Notamacropus eugenii: one gene and its partner. The main gene of each other region encodes a partner of the protein of the gene in region 2 in a complex. Links are inferred from orthologs where the notes say so. Each region holds a gene or a part of one and is shown on either strand. Other genes may lie near its edges.

Evidence for each region.
Region 1: PIGA (region 2) and PIGP share a complex: the UniProt entries of both Homo sapiens proteins name them as parts of the glycosylphosphatidylinositol-N-acetylglucosaminyltransferase (GPI-GnT) complex. The link is inferred for Notamacropus eugenii from reciprocal best matches to the Homo sapiens genes PIGA and PIGP.

The regions. Positions count from the first base shown.
Region 1 is NC_092876.1:420,365,747-420,381,818, forward strand, and holds the start of PIGP (phosphatidylinositol N-acetylglucosaminyltransferase subunit P), read right to left. Parts: upstream 7,626-16,072; 5' UTR 7,537-7,625; intron 7,491-7,536; exon of another isoform or gene 7,323-7,490; intron 7,175-7,322; exon of another isoform or gene 6,964-7,174; 5' UTR 6,942-6,963; coding exon 6,860-6,941; intron 1-6,859. Other genes in the region: E3 ubiquitin-protein ligase TTC3, read left to right, coding at 9,110-9,184, 13,409-13,454, 13,755-13,905, 15,045-15,129. UniProt on the Homo sapiens protein: Part of the glycosylphosphatidylinositol-N-acetylglucosaminyltransferase (GPI-GnT) complex that catalyzes the transfer of N-acetylglucosamine from UDP-N-acetylglucosamine to phosphatidylinositol and participates in the first step of GPI biosynthesis.
Region 2 is NC_092876.1:374,802,751-374,819,317, reverse strand, and holds the start of PIGA (phosphatidylinositol N-acetylglucosaminyltransferase subunit A), read right to left. Parts: upstream 8,797-16,567; 5' UTR 8,369-8,796; exon of another isoform or gene 7,201-8,368; intron 5,486-7,200; 5' UTR 5,444-5,485; coding exon 4,705-5,443; intron 53-4,704; coding exon 1-52. UniProt on the Homo sapiens protein: Catalytic subunit of the glycosylphosphatidylinositol-N-acetylglucosaminyltransferase (GPI-GnT) complex that catalyzes the transfer of N-acetylglucosamine from UDP-N-acetylglucosamine to phosphatidylinositol and participates in the first step of GPI biosynthesis.

The DNA of each region.
Region 1 (16,072 bases), about 46 Mb from region 2:
GGCCATGGGAAAGTACAAGAGCCTTCAAGGCCTAGAGGACGGTGGGTGCAAAAGTGTAAAGGAGACAGAGCATCATGGGAGAAGCAGAAAGAAGATCAGTTTGGAATGTATAATGTGTAATAAGCATGGAAAAGGTTGGGCTGTGAAGGACTTTAAACACTAAAGAGACACAACTTATTTCCTAGAGGAAACAGAGGTGCCATTCCAGTTTACTCAGTAGAAGAGTGAGATGGTCAGACTACTTTTGTAAAATCAGTTTGGCAGCTGTGTAGGGGGAGAGGTGCTACTGTAATCCTCAAGGGCTTAAAATAGAGTGGTGGCCACATTAGGGGAGAAAAGGGAATGGTTGTGAGAGATAATGTGATTGCATAAACCCCGGACTGATTTGAGAATGCAGACATTAGTCTTGGACAAATGGTAGCAGAAGCACTGACTGAAGTTGCTGGCAGCAGCAAAGACGGGAATTGACATTCCAGTTCTTATCCAGGTGAACAACCACTTATCTAGACTAATGGTGAGAAGCAGAGACTTGATTAGAATGCTCCAAGTAGCCGAAGGATAAGGTCAAGGGCTAGCCTGACCTAAAAGGGTTTATCAAGTCTGTCAAAATGCTGAAACTAATATTGACCTAACTAATGAGTCAAAAAAAGTATAGGACAAATACTCAACTCCAATTATCTTGATGCTATTTACCTATTCATGGTTGGTTGGTTGGTTGGTTGTTGTCCTTCATTCCCGAAGAGGATCAAAAGGACATCACCATGATAAAGTGAAGTTTCAGTGTGTCGGACTGTGGCTGATTAGACCTATTCATGGTACCGTGGGACTAAATGAGTGAAGATGCTTTGGCTGCCAACTCAGCTGAAAGAACACTCAGGAACTATAGACAAAGACAGAACCAAGGACAAATCTGTCCTGCCTGGAAAAGTAATGAGGCAAGGGAAAGGAATATAAGCTGGTCTGATAAATGAACATCACCATCAGAAGAAAGAGATATTCCTTCTGTTTTAAGAATGGAAGAGATCACCAGATACAGGCTATGTGCACCATAGGAAAAAAATGTAACTTTGGTGGTAGAGAAGTTGAGAGCTATAGAATTATCTTAAAAAAAAAAAAAAAAGAAATAGGGTCAGGGGAAAGAAGTCACTGTAGTCCCCTAAAACAATAACCATTACTCTGGCAGCCTTTCCTAATATGTTTTTCTTACCCTTATACTAATGTGATACTAGAATCTAACTTTTCAGCCACAGAAGGGGGCTTTCCTAAGGAAGCCACTATAGTATAGTGAGACGGTCCTCCATCTCCAGCTGGTCATTTCTCCTGAGGGAAGGCAGCAAGAGGTTAGAGAGTGTGACTACCATCTGCCTCAAAGTGACATCTCCCTTCATGAAGAGACTCCAACTTCTGCTACAACAGTCTGATCTACAGCCTCAGGTAAGAGAAGGATCCAGCCCTTCCTCTGGCCCCATGCCATTTTCTGCTCTGATTTCCCCTGAAGTCAGGCTGCTATCTGTGCCAGCACAAGGCAACTTTCACATCTTGCTACCAGACTGATTTTCCATTAGGGATATGGAGAACCTGTGCTGCAGTCAATCAACAAACATTTATTGAGCAGCCAGTATGTATTAGGCACCGTGCTGGAAACTGGGGATAAAGAGAGAGATGAAAGACAGTCCCTGACCTCAAGGAGTTCACAGTCTAAAGAGAGACAGCAAACCAATAAATATACACATATAAGCTACACACAGGTGAACAGGAAGTAACTAAGAGAAGGAAGGCACTGGAATTGGGAGGGGCTTTTACTCTAGCTGGGGCTTAAAAGGCATCTGGGGAAGCCAGCAGGAGAAGACGAGGAGGGAGAGAATTCCAGGCATGAGGGACAACCAGAGGAAATGCCTGGAGCAGAGACGGAGTGTCTTGTTTGGGGAACAGCCCAACAGAACTGCATGGAAGAGCATGTGGCTGGGACTAGGTGTAGGAAAACTGGAGGAAGGGGAGGGAGTAGGTTATAAAGGGCTTTGAAAGACCAACAGAGAATTCTGTATTTGATCCAGAGCCACTGGAGTTTATGGAGTGGGGAGAGGGTGATTTGTTGGACCTGTGCTTTAGGAAAATCACTTTGATGGCTGAATGGAAGACAGTCTGAACTAGGAGGATACTTGAGGGAGGCTAACTCACCAGCAGGCTACAAAGGGCAGAAGATAGGAAAGGATCAAGTGAGAGTTTTTTTCAATATGGGGGAGACATAGGTGTGTTTAGATAGTAGACAGGAAAAGACTGAAAATAAGTGATTCAGTGATGATGTCAGGAGAAATCTGTTGGAGGAGATAAGAAGGGATTACTTGAGCAAATAGAGCAGTTAGCTTTGGTAAAGAGTAAGGTTATTTCATCATGTGAGTCAAGAGTGAAGGAAAAGATAGTGCCAGAATGCGTATGAGAGATATGAAATGAAGAGGAGTGAAGCCATAGCAAATGGCTTCAATTTTTCTGAAAATGAGGCAAGATTCTTATATGAGAAGGTGGAGGGAGGGGAACCATGGGAGGCTTGAGAAGACATGAAAAGGTTTAAAGAACTGCTCTGGAGAGTGGGATACTGAGTTCATAATGTAGGCATAGAAGGACCGGCTAGCAGCAGTAAGTCACAACTGAGGTTGTGTAACAGATTTCTAGGGGACCTAATCAGAATGGTTGTCCAATTTTCTCCAGCTTTGTTGGGCAACACGTGTAGCAGCAAAGGCTACAAATGACGGGAGTGGTCCAAGGCTAAAGCTTGGCTGGGAGTAATCAGTGATATGACACAGAGGGTAGGGATTCAAGAGAGGAGGGGAGTGTAGTGTTGAAATGGTTCACCATGGATTCAAGATAAAGAGAAGAAAAGACTAGCTAGTACAGGGGAGAAATCTGGCCAGTAAACCCCAAGTTAGCTGGGCAGCTTCTGGCCATCAAAATTTACCTTCCTTTGGAGGGGAGAAGGAGAGGGAGAGGATGAGGACGAGCTGAGTTGCCCAATTGGCTGGGTCCCCATTTAGGCAGCTCAGTCTACTCACAGGTTGTGTTTGTCCTTCGCTTTCAAAGAGGACCATGACATCAGGGAAATGATGACATGACTTACAGTTGACTTTGATTTGAGTGAGGGTCACTCTGAAGTTCACAGATTGGACCACAATAGGTCCCCACCCAACCTCCACATAACAGCTGTATTGGGCCTTCCTGGTTCAGCATCAATGTCAATGGCAACTGTTTCTCTTTGGAACAGCAATCCTAAGGGTCTTCCTCTCACAGCTTGATTTTTTTTCTTTCTAATTAAAGGGGCCATCCCTTGATTCATTTCTTAAAGAGGCCTATTCACCTAATGGGCATTACCTCATTCAAGGTGAGAACCTGAAAAGGCCTTAACCATTGCATTCTGGGCCATCTCCAGTTGTCCTGATGAATATCTGGCCACTGGACCCAGATGGCTCTGGAGGAGAAAATGAGGCTGGTGACGTTGCACAGCCCTCCATCACTGAAGTCAAAGTCAAATGTAAGTCATGTCAACATTTCCCTGATGTCATGGTCCTCTTTGAAAACAAAGGACAAATAAGACAACAACAGTTGCCTGGAGTCAAAGTACTAGGTTCACATCCTGGTGCTTATTACCTGTGTGATCTTGGGAAAGTCACTTAACCTCTCTCAGGCTCATTTCATCTCTAAAATGAAGGTGATGAAATAGATGGCCTACATCTATGATTCTATGATCTTGGGGAACACCAGCTTTGAAAGTTGCATTGTGGGTAACAATTAGGAAAGCAAAAATTAAAACAAACAAATGTAAAAGGAAAAGAAAGAAGATGAATGTTCTTCCCTTTTCCATGAATAATTCTTTACCAGGAAAACTTTTTTCCTAGAACTAGGGTTCCTAACCTGTTTTGTGTCCCTTTTGGCAACCTGATAAAGCCTCTGGACCACTTCTGAGATAAATGTTTTTAAATACTTAAAATAAAATACAAAGGACTGCAAAAGAAACACTGCTAGTTGGGGTTCATGAACTACCTTCTGTATCTGTGTGCAAAAAGATCTATCTAAGCTATGTGCTTCAGCTGCAAGTTGCCATCAACTACTCTGGTGGGTTGAGGGTGGAAAGGAGAGGTGGAAAAAGGGAGAAATTCCTTCCATTCCCCTTCCTACACTCTGAAAGAAGAAGAACAGTGCTGAAGATCAAGAACATGCATTGGTCTATTATCTTACTCTTGTTTTCTGATGAAAGAAAATCTTTGGTTTTCTAATAAAATTTCATCCCCATGAACTTCAGTCATCCAAAGCTCCCAATTTCCTATCTGCAAGATCCCTGTGGATTCTAAATGGAAAGTGCCCTTTCAATTTCTCTACTCCCTATCATCTCATTAAGTTAAATGAAGAACTCACCAAATTAATTAGATTCCCTAAGCAGCTTTATCTTATAACTCTAAAACTTCAGAAGGACTTAAAGCATTCTACTTCTAACAGTATTCCGGTGAGATGGTCAACCAAAATGATAATGGCCTAAAAGGTCAAAAGAATTGTATTCCTCTGGAATGGGACATTTAAGCAATCTCACAAGTGAGGCCCAGATCCCACTGTGGACAGCAACTAGTCAATGCTGTGCAACTGCTCAAATTGCAAACTTTCGATTGTAGACTAGAGATCTCCATAACCCCAGATTTCAAACACTGTCTATAAAGAGTTATGGTTCACTTTGCAGAACTGACATGTTTCTGAAAAGGTCTGCAATTTAGTTTTTGTAAATATTATCAGGTCCAGATGTGATTTCATCACTGTGTGGAACTCCCTGTTTAGAAATTAGCCATAATGCACTACCGCAAATCAGTAAATCAGCAGTAGTTGATCTCAGCAAGCTGCTGGGGTAATCTGAAGGCAGGTGACTTACCCGCTTCCTCAACTAATATGCATGAGAGGCAGGATCAATCCTCTAAGCAGTAATGCAAAATGTCTCATGGTAGGTTTTGTTTGTGTTCGTCCTTCGTTTTCAAAGAGCATGTCATCAGAGAAATGATGACATGACTTGTTTTGAGCGAGGGCTGCACAGAGCAACAATGACTATTGATCATCACTCTGAAGCCAGGAGGGTCCAGGAGAGAGAGAGAGACAGAGACAGAGACAGAGAGAGAGACAGAGAGAGAGAGAGAGAGAGAGAGAGACAGAGTCAGAGACAGAGAGAGAGACAGAGAGACAGAGACAGAGAGAGAGAGACACACACACACAGAGACAGAGACAGAGAGAGACACAGAGACAGAGACACAGAGAGAGGGAGAGAGAGGGAGAGAGAGACACAGAGTCAGAGACAGAGAGACAGAGAGAGAGAGACACACACACACAGAGACAGAGACACAGAGACAGAGATAGAGACAGAGAGAGAGAGACAGAGAGACAGAGACACAGAGACACAGTGAGACAGAGAGAGGGAGAGAGGGAGAGAGGGGAGAGAGGGAGGGAGAGAGGGAGAGAGAAAGAGAAAGGAAGGAAGAAAGGAAGGAAGGAAGGGAGGGAGGGAAGGAGGAAGAGAGGAAGGGAGGAAGGGAGGAAGGGAGGAGGAAGGAAGGAAGGGAGGGAGGGAGGAAGGAAGAGAGGAAGGAAGAGAGGAAGGGAGGAAGGGAGGAAGGGAGGGAGGGGAGGGGGGGAGGAAGGAGGGAGGGAGGAAGGAGGGAGGAGGAAGGAGGGAGGGAGGAAGGGACGGAGGAAGGGAGGGAGGGAGGGAGGGAGGAGGGAGAGAGGGAGGGAGGAGGGAGAGAGGGAGGGAGGAGGAGGGAGGGAGGGAGGAGGAGGAGGGAGGGAGGGAGGAGGGAGGGAGGGAGGGAGGAGGAGGGAGGAGGGAGGAGGAGGAGGGAGGGAGGGAGGAGGGAGGGAGGGAGGGAGGAGGAGGGAGGGAGGGAGGAAGGGAGGGGGGAGGGACGGGAGGAAGGGAGGGAGGGAGGGAGGGAGGAGGGAGAGAGGGAGGGAGGAGGGAGAGAGAGGGAGGGAGGAGGAGGGAGGGAGGGAGGAGGAGGAGGGAGGGAGGGAGGAGGGAGAGAGGGAGGAGGAGGAGGGAGGGAGGGAGGAGGAGGAGGGAGGGAGGAGGAGGAGGGAGGGAGGAGGAGGAGGGAGGGAGGAGGGAGGGAGGAGGAGGGAGGGAGGAGGAAGGGAGGGGGAGGGAGGGAGGGAGGGAGGAGGGAGGAAGGAGGAAGGAGGGAGGAAGGAGGGAGGGAGGAAGGGAGAAGGAGGGAGGGAGGGAGGGAGGAGGAGGGAGGGAGGGAGGGAGGGAGGAGGAGGGAGGGAGGGAGGAGGGAGGGAGGGAGGGAGGAGGAGGGAGGGAGGAGGAGGGAGGAGGAGGAGGGAGGGAGGGAGGAGGAGGGAGGGAGGGAGGAGGGAGGGAGGGAGGGAGGAGGAGGGAGGGAGGGAGGAGGGAGGGAGGGAGGGAGGAGGAGGGAGGGAGGGAGGAGGAGGGAGGGAGGGAGGAGGAGGGAGGGAGGGAGGAGGAGGAGGGAGGGAGGGAGGAAGGGGCCTGTTCACCCCACGTTGGCTGGGCATCCTCCGGCCATCCACGTTGGCCTTCCTGTGAGTGCCTCAGCTAGGTGCGGCGGGTATGCGCAGGGAAGGGGAATGCCCTAAATGAGACGTTCCCAAGCCCACTCCACACAAGGGGCCCGGAGGTCAGGGGCTGCGGCTCACGCAGGTAGCACCGCACGGCACAATCTCCACGTCCCTCTCCGTGCCCCACAGACCCTAAGGTGACACCAAGGTGCAGCAGGCTGGACCCTACCCCGGGGTGTCACCAGCTCGCGGTATCACCCCGAGGAGCCTCCCGGCCGGTCTGGACCCGGCGCTCCGTCGGAACCGTACTTACTGAACCCGCACTGGGAGCTCAGGAACAGGACGAAGCCGTAGATGGCCCTCTCCGGCAGCGGGGACGGGGAATTCTCCACCATAGCCTCCGGAGCGTTGGGGAACCTGAGGGCGGGAAGCACCAGACAGCGGGTCACTCGCCACTGACCCCGTGCAGAGCGTGGGTGCGCCCTCGGCCCTTCCCCTCCCCCGGACCGCCTCGGCTCGCCCCGCTCGTCCTCCCGTCGCAGACCACGTACGGCGGGGATCTCGGGCGAGGCTCCGCGGCTGGAGCCGGGCTCCCCCGGGGTTGCGCCTCTTTGGGGCACCTGCAGGGACACGGGGGCCCAGGGCACGTTTCATTTTCTCCCGGGGACCCTGCCTTTCCTTCCAGGGTTGGGGCTGGGGGGGTTCGGGGGCGCCGCCGCGGAGGGGGAGAGGCGAGATCACAGCAGGGGGCCCCTTTTCTCTGCACTGTGACGCACCAGTTTTCCTGCCTGCCGGCTTCGGAAGCTCTAGGCCAAACCTGTGTGCGCAGGTGCCACCCAGGAGGCCGGGGAGGAGAGGGAGGGGGGCTTTTCTGCTCCGGGCGCCGGGATTCTGGGGCGGGGCGGATTGCGGCAGAGGGGGCGGGGAGGAAGGGGGGAGAAGGAAGAGCGGGCGCTGGGGCGGGGCCAGGCGCGCCTGCGCGCTGCTCACGTGACGGCCGGCCTCCTTCCTCCGTCCGCGGCTCTCCCTCCCCGCTCTGGAGGTCAGTGACGTGGTCCTGACGGTTGCCTCCGGACTGAGACCTGCTTCTGGACGTGGACGCGGATTAAAGCTCGCTCGTGGCGTGTCCGGTGAGTGTGTGTCCGTGTGTCTGTGTGTCCGTGTGTCCGTGTAAGGATGCGTGTACATCTGCGCGTCTCTCGCCTCTGCCAGCCCGTGGCCTTCCCGCAGCCAGTGTTGTCTGACTTGCGTGTCTGCACACACCCTTCGTGCGTGGATAGGTGCCCTGCGTGTGTGTGTCCGGCATGTCTTTGTGTGTGGCACGCGCGTTCTTTCTACCTGCTCTTTCCGTCGTCGTGCCCGTCATCCGCGCCCCCCATCGGAGGCTGCCAGCGCCGTGTTCCCCAGCCACTTGTTATTGTGTGCCCCGGCCGGTCGTCTGCTGACAGGAAATAAGCCTGCGGCCAGCCCGGCTGCCATTTCCACCCCGGCCCCGCTCGCCTCCCTCCCTTCCCCGTCCACCTCCGCTCCCCCCAGGTGAATACTGAGAGACCCGGCAGGGCCTTTCCCGGCGCGTCCGGGCCCCTCTCGGGAGCCCCCCGGGGCCGGCCGCGGGATGGGAGGGCTGGGCTCCGCGGCTCCCGCTCCTGCAGCCCGGCTCCGGCCCGCCTGGGCCCCGGCCCTCGGGTCTGTGACTGCGTCCTGGGTGTCCGTCACCTGGGCTCCTCCCGGGCCCCTCCTGCCCCTCCAGAGAGCCGTTGCCACCACCGTGTCCTAGGAAGGAAAAGGGATTAAGGCGCCGAGCTGACCCCCTTCCACACCTGTGGACGTGCCCGGAGGAGTTGTTTGGTGGGCAGGACTGCCCCGGGTAGTTCCTGGTCCTGATCGAGCTCCTGTCGTGTTCTGCGTCAGAGCGAGCTTCTTTACGTTTTCGCTTTATCCTACAACCAAGTGGTTTTCCATTACATTTGTGTGGTTGACCTGTATGGATCCCTTCTTTCCGTCTTTGACTTTATCGGGGGGGGGGGGGGGGGGGGGGGGGGCGGGGGGCGGTGCCCGGTGTGAAGTGTCTGGATTCCAGGGTGTGAACTTTTTTTATCACTTTCTTCAGATACTTTCAATAGCTTTCTAGAATAGTACCCGTTCACAGCTCCACCAACAACGCATTTTGGTGTTTCTGCAGTCCCTCCAGCATGGACTGTCCTTTGTCATCTTTGCCAGTTTGATAAGAATTAGGATGAAGGTTATTTTGATCTGCATTTCTCTTAGTCTGGTGCTCTTTGGATCTTAACTGGAGTGTATATGGAAAATCTGGTTTCCTTTACAATTTCTCATATTTTCGTTTCACTGGAAGCCCAGAGCTGAGATTTGAGCATGGATCTTCTGCCTCCAGAGCCAGTGTTTTTTTTTCACTGAAACTCCCCTCCACCCACTTCAGGAACTGTAAAAATGAGTGGCTGTTTCTATTGTTGTTTTGATTGTGACAAAGATAAGATTCACTTTCATAATTTGTATTGTTTACTGATTTGGAGTTTGTTTTTATTGGCCTTTAGGATCATGCGCAATGGAGAATTCCATCTCTGAGGCAGATTTAATTGGCAGCAGTTATGTTCGCATTACTAAACTTTGCTGTGAACAGGTGAGTTTTTTTAAAAAATCAAATGCATTTTAAAGTTCATATTCAAAGCCAATGTGTAAGTCATTCAGAGTGATTTGTGATGCCATCTGTGCTTTTGAAGAGAAAGCTGAAAAAGGGAAGGAGCTGCCCAAAAAGAACAAGTGTGTGAGATGATGGAAACTAAAAAGGGAGGAGGATGATGGTGATAATAATAGGTAGGATTTATATAGTCCTTTACACTGAACCTATATTGTTTCGTTTGGTCCTCACAACAACCTTTGCAGGTAGGTGCTGTTATTATTGCCATTTTATAGTGCCATTTTATAGATAAGGAAATCAGGGCTGAGAAAAGTTTAACATGTCCAGGGTCACAAGGCTATTAAATGCCTATGGTGAGATTGGAATCCAAGTCTTCTTGGTTCTAATTTCTACATTTTGTCTACTTCACCTCATTATTGGTGAGGGTGTATGTTGAGGGTAGAAATTAAAAGTAGCTTTATGTAGAAGAGAAGTTTGGTTCATATGGCAAATCATTATAAGAAATCACATTTTTCCTTTTATCAGCCAGTTATTAAAATCATTGATCCTCTCTGATGAGAACAGATGAAATGATCAAAATAAGAAATTCCCAATAGGAGAAAAGAGTGAGAGGAAGAAAGGACAAGTGACATGTTCTACTTCCTAGCTTGTTTTTCCTGATCCTCCCCAGCTGTGGTGGGGCCCATCCCATATATACTTTGTTGCAATCTCCCTTGATAGAATTGTAAGTTATTTGATGGTATGGACTACTTCATTTTTATCTTTGTATTTTTTACCCTTGTATCTAAGCCCTGAGATAAATTACTGTGTGTTTGATTGGTACTTGACTTTTTTGATAGCTATATTCAAGCAATGATTCCAGCGATCTCTTATTGTGGACTTGCATTCTGTTGCTGCAGGATTTACAGAACTATTGCAGGAGCATAAGAACTTCCAGAGGTTCTTATTTAACACTTTTCAGTGTGGAATTTGGATCTCTGAAGGCTTACTTCACTACTTATAGGATCTATAATTTTTTTTCTCTTTGTGGTTGATACTTCATTCTCTGATTCATATTGCAGCTTTTTGATTTCTCTTGGACAATCTCTGAAAGGTGATTTTTTAGCTAAAAACCTGGTTTTAAGCTCTCCAAACTTAAGCTAAATGTCAGACTGCAGATGTCTTTTATTTGGTGGGAAGGTAGAGTCTGTGATGTGTTAGCCTTATATGTGTTAGCATGTGAAAGCCCTGCGCCACTTCTATAAGAGTTCAGTAGAGGAGCAGTGAATATAAAAGAGATCTTTGTTAAAAAAAAAATTAATAATGGATTCCAGCTAAGATGGATGCTTGACCTTGTCTAATAAAAGCCTAAAATTTACATCAGACCCCCAAATAATCAAATCCAATGAGAAACTAGAGTGATTTCTTTCATCCCAGAACTGCACAAAAATTCAGCCAGAAGCCCAAGGGCAATAGGAATAAAGGATACTAACAAAGCCAAAAAACTCATCCACAAGTTAGTAGCTTCCCAGAATAACCAGACCCGGGCCACAGTCACATGTAGTCCGCTTGACTCTTGGTCTGGAAGCAGGGAAAGCAGTGAGGTCACCCAAGAAAGTCCCCAGGTGGGCTCCAAGATTCATAACATTCTGTTCTGAGGAGCAGTAGAGGGCCTTGAAGATCCAGTGTCTGAACATCAAAGATCTGGGACAAAGAGGGACAGTCCCAGTCTTGGAAAATAGATATTTAACACTAACTCAGGAACAAGGATAAAACCAAGGAAGGTCAATGAGCCTACCCAAGAGTACAGCGGGGGGAGAACCCTGGTCCTAGCACAAAGCTAGAGTGATAACCCAAAGAAGCTAATGTAAAATTAATATTAAAAAAGTTCCTGTTCTAGAGATGCCCCCAAATCAGACTTAGAACCACAAATGACTTAGCTGGCATAACTCAGCATAATTCTATAGAGGAAAAAAATGAAGCTTCAGTGGACTAGATCAGAGTTGACAAACTTTTTCTATAAAGGACCAGATAGTAAATATTTTTGACTTTGTGGGCCAATAGCCAAATTGAGAGTATTCTGTAGATATTTATATAATGAGAAAACAAATTTACAAACAGTTTTAATGGATGAAATTCAAAATATAATAACATGTACAGTTAGTTTATTTTGTAATACAGATCAACTAGTGAGAAGAGTGAAATTCTTTTCTAGGGGAGATGATATTTCACATAATTGGAATTCAAAGCTATTACTCCCTGTCATCAGAATCAGTTGCAGATGTTTATTTGTTATTGCTGATCTGTAATGGTATTTTATGTATTTCATCTTTGAAAATGGCTTTTCACACAGATAGGTACTGCCAAATACTGATATCAGCCTATGAATATATACTGTTTAACATATTTGGCTCTTGGAAGACATTTATGTAATCCTGTTAGATTCTTGATAGTTGCCTTTTAGCAAGTCATTACGTTGCATATTAATCACTTCCAATTGAAGGTTGGTAAAAGTTCTTCATTTGCACATTTAAATGAACATATTGAAATTTCTTTTGTATTTGTATCAAGTTCCAATGATGGAACTGTAGTTTGAGCTCAGGAAATACATTCACTGCAAATTTGTATTAGAATGGAAATCTTGTCTCTTAATTTTAAACAGTGTGGAAAGTATATGAAGTAACTTAACATTACTTGTGATTTAAAAATATTGTTATTAAATTGACTTGATTATAAGTTTTGTATATAAGCACTCTTTTGCCTTGAAATTTTAGGTCGAATTCATTAAGAAACATTGTCAAGTCTGCAGCAAAAATTAATTTCCACAGCCATTCAGTGTTTGATAACAATGGTTTCTTGTTCAGAAAAACTTCAGTCTCAACCCTGAGCTCAAAAAATTATAATAAAACATTTTTCTTTTTTTCTGTTTTGACATAATAGGCATACAATGGTAATGAAAAAATGTTGAAATATGGTAATACAGGTGACACTTGAAGCAATGTCAAATTATAACTACGTCACAACAGTTTGTTGTGATCTGAGTCCCTGTGAGATGTAATGAAAGTGCCATATAGGATCTCTGTTACCACTACTTGACTATGGTGTTTTATAATTCAATGGCATTCATAGACAATATGTAATTAAATGAGCATGTTTATGTTATAGTAAAACTGTTTAAAAGTGTAAAAAACTATTCTTAGCTCACTAGACATACAAAAAGGTTTTGATAATTTGCTGATCCCTTGACTAGAAGACTTAGTTCCAAGCATTTCTGATGAAAAAAACAGAGCTGAGTAGGAACTTTGACATATAAATTTATGTCCAGTGAAACCTAGAAAGTAAATTTATTTGAGCAGTTGCAAAGGGTTGTATGATGACATAGTACTAACATATTGATGGGAGAAGAAGCAAGTGTCTGTTTCTTCATAAGAAAGTGCCTTAATTTCTTCATAAGGTACTGAGGAAATAAAGTAAGAAAACAGATCTTGGAGGTGGATTGGCTCTGAAAGAAAGGAAAAAAAAGTGAGAGTAAAAGAGAAGAAAGAATTGCGAGCAAAACAGACTTCCTGATTAAAAAAAAAAAAAGAATTAGAATCTGATGGGGTACCCAGCAATTGGGGAATATCTTAACAAATTGTGGTATATGAATGTATTGACATGTTATTCTACCATAAGACATGGTTAAAGAGACAACTGCCATGAATCCTGGGTATCATGAGCTGAGCTAGGAGAAGACAAATCCCTATTTTTTGGTGTTTTAAGTTCAGAATAAAAAATTCCATAATAATGCAATAATAATTTTTAAGTAGGACAAGAAATGTACTATGTTGGCTGTAGCTAACTTTGTTGCATTTCTATTTCTCAGAAGACAATAATGTGATAGATTAAAGATTAAGATATATATGTAATCAGAATAGAGACAAATGAATTTGAGTTTAACTCATTTACGTGACAGGTCATAGTTATATTTTTAACCAAAATTGGGTAATTTAAAATTGTAGAAGGGAGCATGATAGCTACTGGAAAAGAACTTGGTGACTGGTAGATTGAAAGAAGTGACCTTACCCAGAAGTTTACAGATTAAAACAGCACATGTTATACTGTTTTGTGTAGCTTTTTATATTTGTATTTATTTATTTACATATATTATATTTATAGCTTACCAGTCCAATTGAATATGCTACTATGTTTTTACCAAAGAGCAACAAAACATGTTTTCTTTTTCAGGGTGGTGCATATCCTAGAAAATTTTCACAAGTTAAGGCAAATCTAGGTGAGCAATTTAGCACTTGAACCTTTATTTTTTCACTGATGGTATAATAGAAGAATTAACAAAATCTATTCATGTTCATGTGTGGTGTTATGTTTCTTTAAAAATTTTGCTCCTGTAATTACTTTGAATTTCAGAATTTTTTAAAAATAACTTGCCAAAAAATCTTAAACAACCATTAGTACTTCTAGCATATTGATTTCCTTGTCATTTTCTAATCTATGCTTTATGTTCTCATTACCCATGCTTTTTTCTACTGAAAACGCCTAGCAATATTAATTTAATTTTTTTTTTTAAATAAAGAACTGGATATCTGCAAAATCTGGTGTAGTAAGCCACTTCATATTCTTCGAGATTACTGTGATGTCATTAAAATATACATCTTCTGGCCACTTCTTTTTCAACGTGAACAGAATCCTGTAGTATCTCAATTACATCCTTGTATAGACATCAGGTAAACAAGTCTTGTTATTTATGTGGTTTTGTTGCTTTATTTGTCTTTTAAGAGAATATTATGTTTTCCTGAAAAATGATTCCTAAAAGTAGAAAAAAAGCTTGAGATAATGTGTTTCATTTACTTATTTCCAGGTACAGTTAGATATCTGCTCCATTTCAGTAGTTAAATAAATTTACGCATTTAAATTTAAACACATTAAACAAAATATATTTAAATATCTACATAGAATTAAGGACAGAGATTATGTAACTCATTCATATGTTACTTAGTAACTGTCACAGTCTTGTATTTCTTCTTTTATGGTTAAAATCCTTATTGTACCTTAATGCCATTTAAAAACTCTATCAACTGTTTAGCATCCTGTTTTTTCTTAATCCTTCCCTTCCTTGAATGCAGTGGTGATTTATTCAATTCTACCTCCTTAGCTATTCTGTCATTTTAATCATTTTTGTGATCTGGCCTTGACAGTTTATTCACATATTTCTTAAAAGAAGACCAAAGCTGCATTCGTAACCAATAAAAGACATCACCAGTGCCAAGTATGGCAGAAGGATTGTATTTGGACTCAGGGGTGGGGCGCCTGTGGCCTCAAGGCCCCATGGGGCCCTCTAGGTCCTCAGGTGCAGTGCTTTGACTGAATCCAAACTTCACAGAACAAATCCCCTTAGGAAAAGGGGGAATTTTTGTTCCGTAAAATTTGAACTCAGTCAAAAGGCCACATCCAAGGACCTAGAAAGCCACATGTGACCTTGAGGCCAAAGGTTCCCTGTCCCTGCTTATTTCATATTCTTCTACTTCAGTCATTAGATACAAACTGTTAATCTCTTAAAGGTTGATTTCTAACCTATAGTTCCAAATATTTGAAACTTACAGTTCCTCAGTCATAAAAAAAAATAAGATTGAGGATTATTATAATAATTAATCATCAGTACTGTGTAGAATGGAGAGGAGGGTGTCCAATAGTTTGCTCAGTTATGAGAATCAAATGAGATAAACTCTATGAATCACTTTGTAAACCTTAAATGTTATGTAAATGTTAGCTATTATTATATACAATTGAATTTTAATACAAATCTTCAGAATCAGGCAATATAAAACCTTACCCATTTCTAAAACAATTTTTTTTCTTTAAATAGCTCTAGTACTTGTGAATTAAGTTTGAAGAGACTGCAGCATATTGAATTACTGGAGGATATCGTGGATTTGGCAAAGAAAGTTGTGGTAAGTGGCACTTTGGGGGTCCACTGCAAGGATGCTTAACTCAGTGAGCTTTGTTAGGCCTAGGTCTTTACAACCTAGTGTGTCTCTGACAGTAACATCAATCTCCTTTTATTTTTAACCAAGTTATGCCTCCTTATCATCTCTATGTAGGTGATTCTCAGATATGCTTATCCAGCCCTAATGTCTCTGCTGACCTCCAGTCTCACATCTCTGTCTCAAACATCTCAAACTGGATTTCACACAGATATCTTGAACTTATTATCTTTCCTCCTTTGTTCCAAATTTCTCTCTTATTATTGAGAGCAACACTGATGTTCTAATCTCCCAGGCTTACAACCTAGGTGTCATCCTTGACTATCTCTCACCTCATACCATGGCACCGACCCAACCCTGTTGATTTTCCCTTTGCAACATTTTGGATATACCCCCATCTCTTCTCTGACACAACTTCCACCCTGGTTCAGGCCTTCATCACTTCCTGTCAGGACTATTGCATTTAGCTTTCTTTTTTGGTCTTCCTATTTCAAATTTCTCCTCCCTCTAGTCCAGGGGTGGGAGACCTTCAGCCTTGAGACCACATGTGGTCCTCTGGGTCCTCAAGTGCTGCCCTTTGACTGAATCCAAATCTCACAGAGCAAAGGGCCACATTTGAAAACTTAGGTGACATGTGGCCTCGAGGCTGCAGGGTTCCCACCTCTCCTCTAGTGTATCCTCTACTCAGCTGTCAAATTCATCTTCTTAAAACACAGGTCTAACAGTGTTACCTGCCAATTCAATAAACTCCAGTAGCTTCCTAATACCTCCAAGATGAAATAAAATGTCATCTGTTTAGCTTTTAAAACCCTTTATGACTTAGCCTGTTTGTATCTTTCATTCTTAACACAACTCTTCTACACATATTGTAATATTCAGTGACACTGACCTCTCTGCTCCCATGCCTTTT
Region 2 (16,567 bases):
TCTGGATATTTCTGACAGAGTTCGGGTATTATCCCACTAAGCAAATCAATCCCTAAGAACATGAGATTAAAAAAAAAGGTCATGAAAGGTTCATTTTAGGAGAGAAAAGCCCTTTTATGCATCTTACTCAAAATGAGTATCCAACTTTTCATATAGGATGTTGTCCTCTAGGAATCAAGAAGAAAAAAAAGAAAGGTACACTTCTTGTCCAACTCCTAGAAAGGCAATACTGCTCACCAATCCAAGGGCTCACAAAGGATCACAAATCTTTTTATTTTTTAAAACTATTTACAAAGATCCTTTAATATGTTAAAGCATAGTGAAGTGGATAGAAAATTGCTCAGACTCAGAAAGCCCCTGATTCCAGTTCCCCTTTGATACATATCTGTTGCTATTTTGGACAAGTCACTTACTGTCTTAGTGCTCTAGGCTACAGGTGTCAAATACAGTGTGGAAAGAACCAGATTAAAATATAAATGGGAAATATTTAAAAGAATAAATAAAAAATATTATAATCTTAATACATAGTTTTCTAAGTCAATATGTGACCTCCTAGGGTTCTTATGTATAGCTTACTGGCCCATGTTTGTATCAGAGTTTGACACCTCTGCTCTAGACAACTGTCAAAGATTCTAAGTTATAGAGAACATGCCAACCTTCTGCCATGGTAGAAGGAATATCTTCATTAAGAGTTCCCTGCATCAGAGAAATCATAGGATAGGAATCCCTATCCTATCCTTATCTTAATATTTATCTTTGCAAGTCCAAATCAACTCTTTCCTGCTTCATGTGAACTTAACACTCTTTCAGTCAGATTCTTCCTCAAGTCTAAGTTTCTACTCCATCAAATTAATGTATTGACATGCCATGAGAAGAAGCAAAGCAACAAAAAATATTTCTGGTTGCTGCTACCTAAGAATGGCCATATGATGGTGTGGAATATAATGTAACATAAGTACATCCTATAAAGTAGCCTTGATCAAATTCATCTGACAGTAAGATTAAAACATTATAACCAAGTCTCACTCTAAGGTCAGGATCACTATAATGTCCTTTAGAAAACTACTGACCAGCCCAATTTAGTCCTGCTTCCCCTTCTTAAGTCTTTGTTCTTCACTTGGGTTTGGAGCTTATATTAGTTCCATTTGTTTTAAATCTAATAGCGAAATATGTTTAAAGTACAACGCAGGTTGAGAGAAGTTAACCTTAACTTTTATCATTTTTGGCATTAATGAGAAATTTTTATTTCTATTTCCAATACAAATGTTATGAGAAGCTATCTAAAAGCCAATATTCATAGCCAAAGAACAATAAGCAATATTTACAAGTTCCCAGAAGGCCAAGATTATTTCATCTTTGACTTTGTCACCCTCATCCCTAGTCAAAGTGACTCGTGGGTGGTATGTTGTACAGGCCAGTTTTACATTTTCTATATTTTTTTGTGGGCTACCCAAAATCCTTTGGTGGGCCACAAGTGGCCCACAGGCTGTATGTTCTGCAGATCTGTATTAGATTATTATGCTACAAATAATTTTCAGGACAATCAAAAGTTAGCAGGTGACACAAAAATCAGGAGAAAAGGCACGTGGCAGATTTGAATAGGTAGCAACGTTACCAATGACAATCAATGTTGATTTGCCTGAAATAAGCGGTATTCAAAAAGCCATCATGGTATAAGCACAGGTGGGAAAGCAGATCAGCCAGCCATGTAGCAAGAATGAAGAGCCTCAAAGTTATACTAGTATTCATGAAGTATTAAAAGAACCATATCAAAGTCTTCATCTACCAAGTTACAGAAGTTTCTCTACAGATATATGGAAAGATATGCATGAGAACTGTACAGTATGAAGATTTATATGGTTTGTGAGATGGACCAGGGAAGGTAATAAAATAGTCTATAAATGAAAGCAGATTTTGTCCTACTCACAAAAACATATTCAGCAATCTAACTAAAGACCAAATATACCTTTAAAAAAATATTGTATCTTTAAGTTTATCAAATTTCTAATGATCATGCTCACACAAAATGGGACATGGAAAAAATTACATATTCAAATTCATTTTAAATGAATTGACTCAGTTTCCCCCCTCAATTCAAGTTTCCCTAAATAAATGGATGTGAATCAGAAGATGTGTGGCTTCACACCTGGTAAAGTGCCATGAGGTTCTGATTACTATGAAGGCATTCAAGAAATGTGAAGGTCAGATAATACATCTTTGACCTGGCCTACCTAATTTCATATGCTACAGAAAGTGCCTCTCAGGATTGCTTCTCTTGTCATTCACTGAGGCAATTTATTTTTTCTAAATAGTCAATACGGAAAAATCAACTGGCCCCACTTATAATCTACTTAACTTTCAAATCCAAAGTGTTCCTCCTGAACCACCACGCCTGTTATCTCCCTCATCAGAATATAAGCTCCTGAGGACAGTCCTCTTAGCTACTGGTACTATTCTACTGCCTAGGTAAAGGCTTAATAAATCCATTTTCATTCATTCAGTCATTTACAAAATTGTGCAGATACTTTCTCTAGTGGAGATACGGACATTAATTTTCATTAGGTTGCTTATATTGAAAAGGGTAATTTTAATTAGATCACAGACTTTCACCTCCACTCAGCAGTCAATTTGATGTTTCTAAAGCATAGATCTAACCATGTTACGTGTCTATTCAGTCTAGACCTATGGCTATCAGGATGAAATATAAAGTCTCCTGTTTCTCTTTCAAAGCCCTTCACAGACTGTCTCTCTCCTACTTTCCGAGCCTCGTTCCACACACTTGACAATCTAGACACCTGCTGTTTCTTCTGGCAGGCTAGATTCCATCTCCAAACACTAGGCGCTTTTACAAGAAGCCATTCCTAACCCCCCTTCATGCTAATCCATTTACTGATCATCTCCATTTTATCCACTCTATATCATCTACACATACTTGTTTATGTATGATCTTTCCCGTTAGACTATAAGGTCCCTGAAAGTAGAGACTGATCTTTTGCCTTTCTTTGCATTCCTAACAATAGGAATGTCCAGCATAAAGTAAGCACACAATAAATGTTTAACCAGTAAGTCACTGATGACTGACTTCACTCCAGTGGCTAGTTAGTTCACATTTGGTTAAAATATCTTAATGAGGATCAGGGCCTGTTAGCTATGCTATGTAGGTCGGTTAGATATTCTCTGTTCTATGATAATACGCTCATTGCACTTCTAATTCTATCTAATCATCTCACACAAGCATCCTATTGTTCCAAAAGAGAACTGGCAAAAGAGTATAAATGAATCAGAAAGCTATTGTGCTACGATGGGGGAAAAAACAGCACACATCTTACTTAAGGTATGTCAACATAATAAAAGAATGAAAAAGAATAAATGTGTGAGATGTTACTGTCAAGTAAAGAGCATTATTCACTAATTCCGTGCTCACCTTACCTGATCTTTTAACCTTGCTGTAAGAGCTTCAATGCCTCAGATCAAACCTAGCTGATTGTGTATCATTAGGGCTACTATCAAAACTTGGTTTCAGAGAGAGGGACAATGTACACCTCCTACTCATCTAGGGCTAGGGAGGAACTGATCCTCTCTAGCTTTATTTCAACTGAGAAAAAATTCAGTTGGTAAGTTTACAGTATCTAGAAATCTTCATTTCTACTCTTCATCTCACACCCACAATCACAAATCTGAAAGAAACCTTAAAAAACATCTACTTGAAGAAAAGCCTTTACCATCTAGCCCCAAATATTCCTTGGGTTTTCACTGAACTTTCATTGAATCCTGCACTGAACTTACAGGTACAACCTTTTCTTGGTGGTCTCGACAGTTGCTCTCACATGGTCTGTTTTCATCCATGTCCTATTTCTATATCCCTCAATTCCCTTTGATGCTCTACACTACGTGCGACTGAACTTCACCTTGTTAGCATACAGGACAGTGGCCATGAAGAGGCCTTGTACAGAACCAATAATTGACACTGACCAGAAACAAATGGCTTCTTTTTACTGTACCCTGACCAAGTTTTTCTTCTCAAATCATCAGCAGATTAATCTAAGACAAAAAAGAATCTAAGGCTAAGGAACACAGACGCATTTCCCCACAGAGATTATCTTTTGATGACTCATATTGAAGAGAGAGTCTCTCAGAATCCAATCTTACAATTTTAGAACACATAATTTAAGTATACAGTAATAATACCAATGATTTTCACTAACAGCAAGGTTTGCTTCTCCCATTTCTCATACTTTAACCTTATAAAATACATACTGCAATGAGAAGTGGTATCTTAAATATTATCCAAGTAGTATTAGCATAGTTATAATTACCAAATTCTGAGTTAAACTATGTAAACAGTATTTTTTAAAAAATATTTTCAAAACATGTTTTTTAAAACATTCACCCTCAATTTGAAATAAATATGTAACTTTGCCTACTGGATTTATAAATTATTAATCCTCCCATTACTATTTAATCAACTGCAATCCTATGGAGGATTTATGGACAGAGATGGACAAGAATCAAACATGCAAGAGTTACGATCTATCTCAATTGAGGAGATATTCAATTTGTAAGATCACAGATGTACCCAAAGTATGAAAATATATAAGCACATATGAAAACAGTTAAAAAGCAAAATAATTAACTGACATTAAATAGACTATTACAGAAACTTCTCTGTGAATGGCAGTTTTAGTTTACAATTTCATTCATTACCTTTTCTGTAAACAAGCCTGCTGATTACAACAATAGTTATTACACTATCATCCCTTCTAAATGGGTCTGGAGTGAAGTCAGTAGGATCTACAGCATTGGGGATGACGGATACTATTTCAGGATTCAGTGCTGCTCTTAGAACAGTGTTTTCCTTGCTAGTATAAGAGACACAAATTATATGATTTGTATCACAAAGAGATACAGTTAGAAGTTTGTTTGTAAGCACCGAGCTGACATCAGCAAATCCAAAAAGAGAATGGTCTGTGAAGACTGTCTGTAGACCCATTGTCTTGGCGTGGAAGAGTGCATCATGGGCCATGGCAGAAAAAGAACTATGTGAATGGATTATGGTGACTCTCTCCCGAACAAATATGTACCTGAGCAGAGGCAGACTATGAAAGAGGGTTGTTGCTGTAGACTGATTGTACATGACTTTTAGCGGTAAATAATATACTTTGAGGCCACTGGTAAGGTATCGAATACCTTTTCTATTTCCATAAGCATGGGTGACAATGATGACTTTGTGTCCTCTTTCAATCAGACACTGAGATAGCTGGTATATGTGGCTTTCCACTCCTCCCATATTTGGATAAAAAAAATCAGACACCATGCAGATATTATGTGCTCCAGTTCTATGCAGTTGATGGATTCCACAGTCAATATGAGAGGGTTTAGATGTGATGGACTGTTCGTGCCCATTTACTCTTCTATATGCCATATTAAGATGAAGTTTAGTCATCAGTCCTCACAGCAGTCCACTGAGACAGAAGCCATTTGTTACCTGGTAAAGGAAATAAAAAAAAAACAAAACAAAACTCAAGCAAAATGCATTCCAATAGATACTTTTACATATATGTATATACCCTAAATGGTGCTGTATTTACTATTTACTTACCCTTTTCCTAGCAATTAAAAATTATATATACTAAATAAACCTAAGTGGCAGATAATGACTAGTGGTTAACATAGCTAAGTATAATGCTATTAAGACATAAAAGATAAGTACCGAAAAATTATGAAGTGCCATGTATAGTACAATAAAGCCAATTCATGACAGGACAGATAGGTGATGTAGTGGATAAACTGCCTGACCTGGAGTCAGGAAAACTCATCTTCCTGAGTTGAAATCTAGCCTCAGATAGTTCTTAGTTGCGTGACCCTGGACAAGTCACCTAACTCTGTTTGCCTCAGTTCCGCATTTGTAAAATGAACTGGAGAAGGAAATGGCAAACTACTCCAATATCTTAGTTAATACCTTTGCCAAGACTTAAATAGGGTCACCAAAAGTTGGGTACAAGTGAACAATTCCAGGTCCATTAATATAAATAATAATTTTTAAATGTATTTTATCTATATTTTTCCTTATCTCTCTATACTTTTTAAAAAATATATTTTAAATTTATCATCTGTTTTAGCATTCATTCTTTCTAAATGTGGGGTTCTAAATCTTCACCCTCCCTCTCACTCTTATATGACATCAATGTGAAATCACACAAAACATATTTCCATATGAGCCATATTTCAAACAAGAAAAATAAAGGGAGAAAATTATACTTTAATTTGCACTCAGAGTTCATCAGTTCTCTCTCTGTAGGTGGATAACATTTTTTCATCAAGTCTTTTGGAATTATCTTGGATCACTGTTACCATTCTAGCCATGTCTTTCAGAGCTGACTACCATTACAGCGCTGGTCTTACAATACACTATGATATGCCAATTCTTCTCATTTCACTTTCCATCATTTCATACAGTTCTTGCCATGTTTTTCTGAAACTACCAACGTCCTCCACCTCATCATTTCCCACAGCACAACAGTACTCCAACACAATCATATGCTACAACTTGTTTAGTCATTCCCCAACTCATGAGAATCCCTTTGATTTCCAATGCTTTACCACAAACAGAACTGCTATAAATATTTCTGGACATGTAGTTACTTTCCATTTTTCTTTGATCTCTTTTGGATACAGAACTTCTAATGGTATTGTTGGGTCAAAGGATATGCAGTTTTATAACTCTGAACATAGTTCCAAATTGTTTTCCAGAATAGTCTGCTCAGCGCACTAGTTCACCAATAGTTCATTACGGTATCTATTTTCCCTCATCCCCTCCAGCATTTATTACTTCTAAAAGATGTGAGGTGGTACCTCTATATATTAAACTTTAAAAGACATCCATTCCTTTCTAGAAAGGCTTCCACTCAGGCACACTAACTTGCCTCTGCATGATTGTAATCTTGGTAGTGCATTAATTAAACAAAAAAGGAGTCTAAATTATGTGATGGTTAGAGGCCCAGGGCCCATGGATGCAGTATGGAAAGCCAACCATACACATAATCATTTCATTTAATCAATGCCTCATGCTCCTTTTTACTCCTAGGTTGATTTAGTTATTTTTTCTTCTTTTGTTCATTAAAAGGGCCAAGAGCCATCCCCTGACTACTTCTTAAACAAACCTATTCACTCAATGGGCATTACCTCCCTCTAAGTGAGTACCTGAAAAGGCCTGCCTAATTAGGTCAAGGTCTCCTAATTGCATCCTGGGCCATCTCCAGTCTTCCTGAGGAGTATCTGTTCACGGGATCCAAGACAGCCCAGGAGAGGAAGTGAGGCTGGTGACCTGCACAGCCCTCCCTCACTGAAAACAAAGTCGAGTGCAAGTCATGTCATCATTTCTCTGATGGCATGGTCTTCTTCAAAAACGAAGGATGAACACAATAACTTTCAACAATTCCAACTATATTTTCAAACCTTATTTCTAAATGTTCTGGCCCATTCATCTGACCATTCTTCTATATAACGTGGAAAGATTTAAAGTTTAGAAAGTTAGGGCCTGCTCGTCCTCCTGTAGTTCCCACTTTTCAAAGCTACACCAGTCCCTGTTTCAGATAACAGGGATATCACGTCTACGTAACACTCGAGGGTTTGCAAAGCACTTTCCACCCAGATTTCTAAGGCGGATGGTGAATCAGCACCGTGACGTTCTTAAGTTAGACGGCTTGCTCAGGGTACCCTAGGTCCTGAGCGTGTGAGGGAGGATTCCCTAACTCCAAACGTTCTGATACAAACGCCTCCCCACAGTCCTCCTCGCCCCATCCCCAGAAAATAAAAAAAAGAACACATCTGCGAGGAATTCTGAGCTATTTTGTAAGGAGCTCCACGCCGTCTAACAAATCTCAGCGCAGGACCATCGTGACCTTCAATCTTTAACTTCCTGAGCAGCAGACGACCCAGCAGAAGCGCTGGGCAGGCACGGGCAGGGGGGGCGCGGAGGCCCCGAGGAGAAGTTACTTCCACCGAGCACCGCCGTCGGGGGGACAGTGGGGGCAAGAAAAGTGTACAGGAACCGTGAGTCTTCTCAAAGGCTCAGGAATCTCTACCAGGGGGCCCTGACTCCACGCTTCCCTTTAAAAAGGCCCCAATGGAGCTCAGAAGGACTGCCACGAAGCCCCATGGGGGGCCCACCTCCTCCCGGGGCTCGGGACCCTCCCGACTCCCACTTCCGGGCCGCCCTGGGGTCCGGACTGGATTGGCCCCCGGAGCCGCCCTCTCTCCCACCTCCCAATGCCCGATTCGGGGGCAAAGGCGAAGCTCGGCCTGAAGCTGCCAAGCACCTCAAGGCAGAGGGGTAGGAGGGAGAGGAAGGCGGCCGACAGACACTTACTCCACGAATGCCACAGCAGAGAGACGTCCAGCCCTCCCACGGCCACCGCCATGGCTCCGCCCACCCCCCGGGAAGGCGGGCAGCCGAGGCTTCCGAGACTCCGCCCCGCTAAAAACCAATCGTCACGCGGCCTTTGGGTCACGCGACTCCCGGGACGCGGCAGCCGAACCCTTTCTCCACCCCCTCGGAGGGCACCACGTGTCCCGGGGAAGGGTAAAGGGCAGGGTGATGACGTCATGGCGTGCTTTCGCCACCGCGGCTGCTGCTTTCTTGTAACTACCACAGCTACAAGAGGCGAATTAATCCTTCTCAAACCAAGGCCGCGTTATCCGTGTCTTGGAAATCTCTTGAGTGTCCTGGAGACTGTCCCTGATTTCTCCTAACACTTTTTCTGGAACTCCTCCTGCCGAGAGCAAGACTACAATCCCAGAGTGCTATGCAAGTACGCTTTGTGTTTTCTGGGAACTGTAGTTCAGCACTCGCTTGGCTCTGCAGCTGCTAGTTTAGACCTGTAAAAAACTACCAGTCCCAGTGTGCCTCGCGCTCCAAGTTCCTCCCTTCAGGGCGTAACCCGGCGTTGGCTCTAAGGCAGCTTCCCTGGAGCGTTGCCTAGTTACAGTTTTTTGTTTCTTGTTCAGTCCTAAACGTCAGCCCAGTTTAGGGCGAGCTTGAGAAGTGTCGATCAATAGAGGCTTATGGTAGATTAATAAACCCAGAGTGCCTTCGAGATCACAAAATCGGTCCACATCCATTTCTTTTTTTTTTTTTCAGTATGCTTTTTTTATTATTATTATTTTTTATTTTTATTTATTTATTTATTTTTTTATTAAATTTATTTATTTAACTTTTAACATTCATTTTCACAAAATTTTGGGTTACAAATTTTCTCCCCTTTTATCCCCTCCCCCCCCAAACACCAAGCATTCTAATTGCCCCTATCACCAATCTGCTCTCTCCTCTATCCTCCCTCTCTGCCCTTGTCTCCGTCTTCTCTTTTGTCCTGTAGGGCCGGATAGCTTTCTATACCCCTTTACCTGTATTTCTTATTTCCTAGTGGTAAGAACATTACAGTTGATCCTAACACTTTGAGTTCCAACTTCTTTACCTCCCTCCCTCTCCACCCCTTCCCTTTGGAAGGCAAGCAATTCAATATAGGCCAAATCTGTGTAGTTTTGCAAATGACTTCCATAATGGTTGTGTTGTATAGGACTAACTATATTTCCCTCCATCCTATCCTGCCCCCCATTACTTCTATTCTCTTTTAATCCTGTCCCTCCCCATGAGTGTCGACCTCGAATTGCACTCTCCTCCCCATGCCCTCCCTTCTATCATCCCCCCCACCCTGCTTATCCCCTTATCTCCCACTTTCCTGTATTGTGAGATAGGTTTTCCTACCAAAATGAGTGTGCATTTTATTCTTTCCTTTAGTGGAGTGTGATGAGAGTAAACTTCATGTTTTTCTCTTACCTCCCCTCTTTATCCCTCCACTAATAGGTCTTTTGCTTGCCTCTTTTATGAGAGATAATTTGCCCCATTCAATTTCTCCCTTTCTCCTCCCAATATATTTCTCTCTCACTTCTTGATTTCATTTTTTTTTAAGATATGATCCCATCCTCTTCAAATCACTCTGTGCACTCTGTCTCTATGTATGTGTGCGTGTGTGCATGTGTGTGTATGTACTCCCACCCAGTACCCAGATACTGAAATGTTTCAAGAGTTACAAATATTGTCTTTCCATGTAGGAATGTAAACAGTTCAGCTTTAGTAAGTCCCTTATGACTTCTCTTTGCTGTTCACCTTTTCATGGTTCTCTTCATTCTTGTGTTTGAAGGTCAAATTTTCTTTTCAGCTCTGGTCTTTTCACCAAGAAAATTTGAAAATCCTCTATTTCATTGAAAGACCAATTTTTCCCCTGCAGTATTATACTCAGTTTTGCTGGGTAGGTCACATCCATTTCTAAATAAATTATGCAATAATGACGTCCCATTCATTCACCAAGACGACCCTTCAGTTCCTAGAGGACCATTCAGGGCTGGGAACTTAGAACCAGACTCTTCCTAAAAGAGTAGCAAGGTGAGGATGGACCCCTAGTAACACCAGACTGGAATATCTCTATCTGCATTTCGCGTTAGTGGTGATCTCCACAACGCCTTCATTAGAGCGAAGGCTGCATGGGGACTCAGGTGCCCCTGTCCCGTCTGTCTCCCCCTCCCCTCCCTTCTCCTCTCCAAAGGAAGGTACGTTTGGGTGGCCAGAGGATGCCCAGGGAACTTGGGCTAACTGGCTCGATCCTTCCCTTCCCTTCCCCCTCCCCTTAAACCTGCTCTGAAGCCCACAGATTGTAACACACGAGACCACTGCCCCAGCTCCACTTAAGGGCTGTTTTCTAGACCCTCCTGACTTAAGACTGGTATCAGTGGGAACTGTTGCTGTTTTCCTCCCAGCCTGAGGTAGTTATTTTTTCTTTGCCTTATTAAAGGGGCCATCCCCTGACTACAGGCCTGTTCACTGACTGGGTGTTACCTCACCCTTGACTGCATTCTCGGCCATCTCCAGCCGTCCTGATGAATATCTGGTCACTGGACCCAGATGGCTCAGGAGGAGAAAGTGAGGCTGGTGACCTTGCAGAGCCCTCCTTTACTCAAAAGGAAGTCAAGTGCAAGTCATGTCATCGTTTCTCCAATGGTATGGTCTTCTTGCACAACAAAGGATGAATGCAGAGTAATTGATGCCACCATGGGATGAGCTGGAATGAGAAACCAATCTTCAGCAACATCCTTGGAACAGCTCCTTTCAGGGTCTCTTTAGTTACCATAAAGGTTGCCTCAGTATACAAAACCACTTGGAATATTTATGGAGTAGTAATGGGTGACTGCTTTCCTACACCAAAAAGTCTGAAAGACAATTTTTCTCCCTAAATAATTTTTATTTTTTTTACATGAGAAATTTTACTTGGCAAACACCAAGTAAAAGCAGCATTTCTGTATACAAAGTAGGGCAGTAAAAGAGGATTGCGTTTAAATTTCTGTTATACACAGCTTGCTTTTGTTATTGCTGTTGATTATAGTCTTGTTTTCCCCCTAAGGACTGCATGCCAGAAGTTTTGGGTTATTATCTCATTATTGTTACTTTTTTTGATGTCATTATCAATTGTTTCTCTGATTTGTTCTTTGAGCCCCCCTTCCCTCAAGTTTTTGTTGATTATAATTTTTATTTCATCTTAGACAGTAAAGGTCTGATAATTCAGCTTTTCTGCATTTGTTTATGAAGCTTCTGTTAAGGGGTCCCCTGAACTTGGCTTTTTGAGTTGCCATTTTTTCGAGTCACTACATCTGGAGCGCAGGAAGACCTGAATGTGTCAAGGAGGAAACCCTACCCTCGTGACATAATTTGTTGTTTGCACCCAAACTGGATTCCCTGTGTGTCCTTGGGAAGCAAGACAGTATGTATCACCCTGGGAAAAATGCTTGTGCACCTGAGGTCCTTTGCAGAGATAAGCAGACCCTCCTGTCTTCATAGTCAAGCAGTTCCCAAGGGAAAAGAATTGGACTTTCACCATTTCCTTGGTCCTGCCCTTTTTACTGTACCTTTCCCCTCCCTTACCATGCCCCTTCCTGTTTTCTCTTCCCCTTTGTTGTACTCTCATAAATATGCAAAATTCTGCAAGGACTATGACCTCTTTGGGTTTCACATGCATGTTCATTTCTCCTGCAATAACCCTAGTTTTCACATAAGTCTTCTGATGTTGTGATTGCCTATTGACATTTCTGTGCCCTAATGTGGGCTGGCACAGTGGATAGAGTGCCCAACTTAGAGTCAGGAAGATTCAGCTTTCTAAGTTCAAAACTGGCCTCAGACATTTACTAGCTTTGTGGCCCTGTGCAAATCACATAACCCTATTTGCCTCAATTCTTCATCTATAAACCAAGAAGGAAATGGCAAATCATTCCATTATCTTTTCCAAGAAAACTCCAAATGGGATCATAAAGAGTCAGACATGATTGAAACAAGTGAAAAACAAGTGGTCTAATATATGCAATGTTTTTGTAAAGGTGCTAAGCTCGGTTGAGAAAGATGTAAATTTCTTTTTAATCCCATTAAGTAATTGTTAGACATCTATCATACTTTACTGTTATAAAATTCTATCAGGTTCTAACGTTTTTGGAAGTTATCTTTTTTTTTAGATCTTTTTTCTTTTTGGTTTAGGTCTGAAAGTGGGTCATTGAGATCTCCAACTATTATAATTTTACTGTCTTTTTCTCCCTATAATTTATTAACTTTCTATTTTCACTTTAGTCTCTGGTTCTAAAAATTCTGTGCAGTTCTTATTGATTACTTCTTGGTATCCAAGCTTTTTGGGGGGTGCAGGAGTGGGAATCAGCACAGTTATGGAAAGCCATGACTTTTAGGAAATTTGATGATTCTTAAATTATCTTTACTTGACCAGTTTTGAGATCAGCTGTTTTGATCTTATTACATTTCATACATTCTCTACTATCTTTTCAATTATTTATTTTGTTCCAGTACTTCTTAATTTCTCATAGTCATTAATTTCAACTTGGTTCATTTAAATTTCATGAAGTCTGTTACTTGGTGGGTGGGAAAAGTGTTCTGCAGGGCCTCCTCCACATATTTTTCCTTAAAAAATATTGGAATCATCTTTAAGGTTTAGTTTAGGGACAAAAGTCCTGGACTTGGTATAACTTCCTGGTGAGCTAAGTACAAAAATCAGCAGGAACTGGACCCCAAAGAGAGGCAAGAAAACTACATGCAACTGAGTCAGTGATCTATATTGGCTGCCCTGCTTTTAATATCCTCCTTCTGCTATAACTAATTAAACCTCCTTTTGTTAATTGTCAGAATTCTACAAAGCTTTCATTTTGTTCCAGTCTTCATCTCAAGTGTCCTAACCAGCATAAGTGAAGCCTGGCCTATTATGCTTGGGTTGGGTTTACCACTTACTGTTCTAAGTCACATATTCTCTTGATATGCCTTTCCTCCAAAGATCTTATTTCATTTATAATTTCATCTTTTAACTCTTCCTTCATTTCTTCTAGGAACCCTTGTAGACCTTGTGGATGAGCAGTTTTTTTCTCTAAGTCTCTACTTCTACTCGTGGAGTTTGTTTCTTCTTCTATATTAGACTTTTGGGTATTTCTGGGACAACAATACTTTTGTATTATGGTTAATGTTTTCTTCTGTTTACTCATCTCTCTCAGTTTCTGAATTAGGGTTTTGTGGCAGAGCCAGGTTCTGTCATCTGTATTCTTGGCGGGGATGGTTGACCATACTTAATCCTGATGTCAATTACCTGATCTCCTGCCACTGATTTCTACTTCTGGTATTTCTGCACTTATAATGTTCATGGATTTCTGGTGCCCCAAGATCATAGTGGTTCAGAGTTCTAAATCTTCAGGAACTTTTGGTGTGTCTTAGGTCAGAGTGCTGTGGACTCCAAAAACCTATGGAATGTCCTGTCTGAGTACTGCCATCCAAGTCTGAGTCCTGTCGGCTTCTGACCCACATTCATGATCCAAGGTTTCTGACCTCCCTATAGCTTCCTCATCCAAACCTTCCAATCTTCCTCTCTCCAGGTAGAGATTGCTGGCTTTAGGAGTTCCTAGAACATCTCAGACTTCCATTGGGTATTTTCAACATACTTTTCTGGGCATTGTTTTTTGGTATATTTTTCCTCTGGAGAATGTCAACAAAGAGAACATATCTAGTTTTCTTAACTTTTGCCTCTGAAGGCTTATCCATATTTATCCCAGTTGGCTTCCAGTATTAAGATTCAGATCTGGATATGCTAGTGTGAATTATCTTTGGTTCACACTGACCAACACATAATCCTGGCCTCCCCCTGGGGCAGAGTTACATTATTTCCCATGTGAATGACCTCAGTAACTCATGTTAGTTATGAGCCAAACTAAGTTCAAATCTATTGTACAATAGGACCAGAGGTTTGATATGAACTCACAGCTACTGAAAAGGATGGAGCTTTTGGCTTTATGTCACATTTGTTCAGTTTTTTTCAGTCCTTTCTGATTATTTGTGATCCCATCTGGGGGTTTTGTGACACCATTTGGGGTTTGCTTGGCAAAGATACTGGAGTGGTTAGCCATTTCCTTCTCCAACTCATTTTACAGATGAAGAACCTGAGGATTAAATGACTTGCCCAGAGTCACACAGCTAGAAGTGTTTGAGGTCGCATTTGAGCTCAGAAGGATGAGTCTTCCTGACTCCAGGTCCAGCACTCTATCCACTGTGCCACCTAGTTGCCCTTATGTCACAGACAATCTCCATACTGCCCCATAATGTACCTATGTTATTAAAGACTTGCCTTTCTAAGGTTGCCCAACCTTTAATTGAGTTTTTGCTTGTCAATCAGGACCAAACATGAATATTGCTTTCCTAGTATTATTTCTCTTTTTGTCCTAGCGGTGTTGGATGGAGCCTTCCATAACCAGTACATAAGTTTATTCTCAAGCATATTTTATTATTATTTCCTAGTTTATGCTTGAGCCTTTACAGTTTTCTTCTCTTTCCCAATTCTCTTCATTGCTACAGTCATATTTTTATACGCTGGCTAAGGAAAGACGAAAAAAATCAAAGAAAGTTTGTATATTTGGGAGTTAAGAAATTTTTAAAAATTACTATTATTATTATTAAAAATTATTATTTTCTCTCTTTGAAGTCCCCATAGATCCCAAACTGTGCTGCACTGCATTCCAGAGCACCATAGTGAAGTCTCAGGGGTATCACGGGATACTTTACACTTTTAAGGGAGACACAGTGATATTTGAACATATCAAATAATGCTCTACTATCTTGAGGTAGTTCACAGTTTAAACATTAAATCATGTTACCTTCCTTTTGATAACATTCTCAAGTGTTTGAGATAGGTTTTTGTTTATTTGTACTCTCAAATATGCCAGTAACTTTTTGAATTTTCTCTTTTGAAGCTGGGTTTTTGGCAGTTGCTTTGATTGGAAAAAAAAAAAAGTAAACAGGAAATGTGTGTGGTGATGTCCAGTCTGATGCCAAGAAGTTGTGCAGTGCCCAATAAACACACACATCCCATCAGTAAGTAATTGTAATTATCAAAAATGAAAGAAAAATTGTCTTTTAATTTATGGGTGTTTTTTTAAAATGTACTAAGATGTTACCACATGCATCCTTACTAAGTTGTTTAGACCTAACTACTTAGAACTTTGGTCTATGGGTACTGTGAAAAAAATTACTGAGACATCAAAGGTAACATGAACTAAGAAGTTTGGGAACTTCCAGACTACATTTTACAGTGAAGTCCTTCAGGATTATACTCTACAAAAAGATAGAAAATATTTCATATGACTATCCATTTTGACTTGTTACTTTAATACTGTTTCATGTAATTAAAAATGAAAGACAGAATAGATCATTGATCTGTGATTCTATAAGAAAGATAGGGAAAACTATCAGGAATTAGTAAAGCTGAATAGAGAGATAGATACATATATATTTGTTTTTGTTTAATTTTTGAGATAGATATCTACATATCTACATATATAAATTAAACATATATAGAAAGAAGAGAGAAAAACAGAGTTCTGTTTAATTTTTTGAGACTGGATTTCCCCATCTTGCCTAGGGTGAAAGTTCAGTGACCATTCATGGACCTGATCCCAGTACTATTTGGCTTACAAGCTTTAACCTGCTCTTTTTTTCTCACTCTCTCTGTGCTGGTTTGCAGCTTTATGCTTAGGCAGCCTACACTCCTTTCACTCCCAGGGGCTAACAATTTTGGCACCAGACTTAATGCAATTACTAATCGACTTTAGCCTCACTCCAGCACAGAACTCCCAAATTCAAATGATCTACCACCTTCAACCTCCCCCGGCAGTCAGGATTACAGATGTGCACCACCATGTCCTGCCAGCTGATATGATTTTGAGAAAGTCAAACATTAACCTTTATGACCAAATCACACCCTTTATAAATCTTTCTGTGTCATATTTAATGGGATAAACTGCCTACATCAACATTTATTGAGTTATGGAAAGGAGCAGTATAGAGAGTTAAAAAGAAGTGGGAAAAACCCCACAATCTTTTTTTTTTTTTTTTAAATTTATTTATTTAACTTTTAACATTCATTTTCACAAAATTTTGGGTTACAAATTTTCTCCCCTTTTATCCCCTCCCCCCCCAAACACCAAGCAT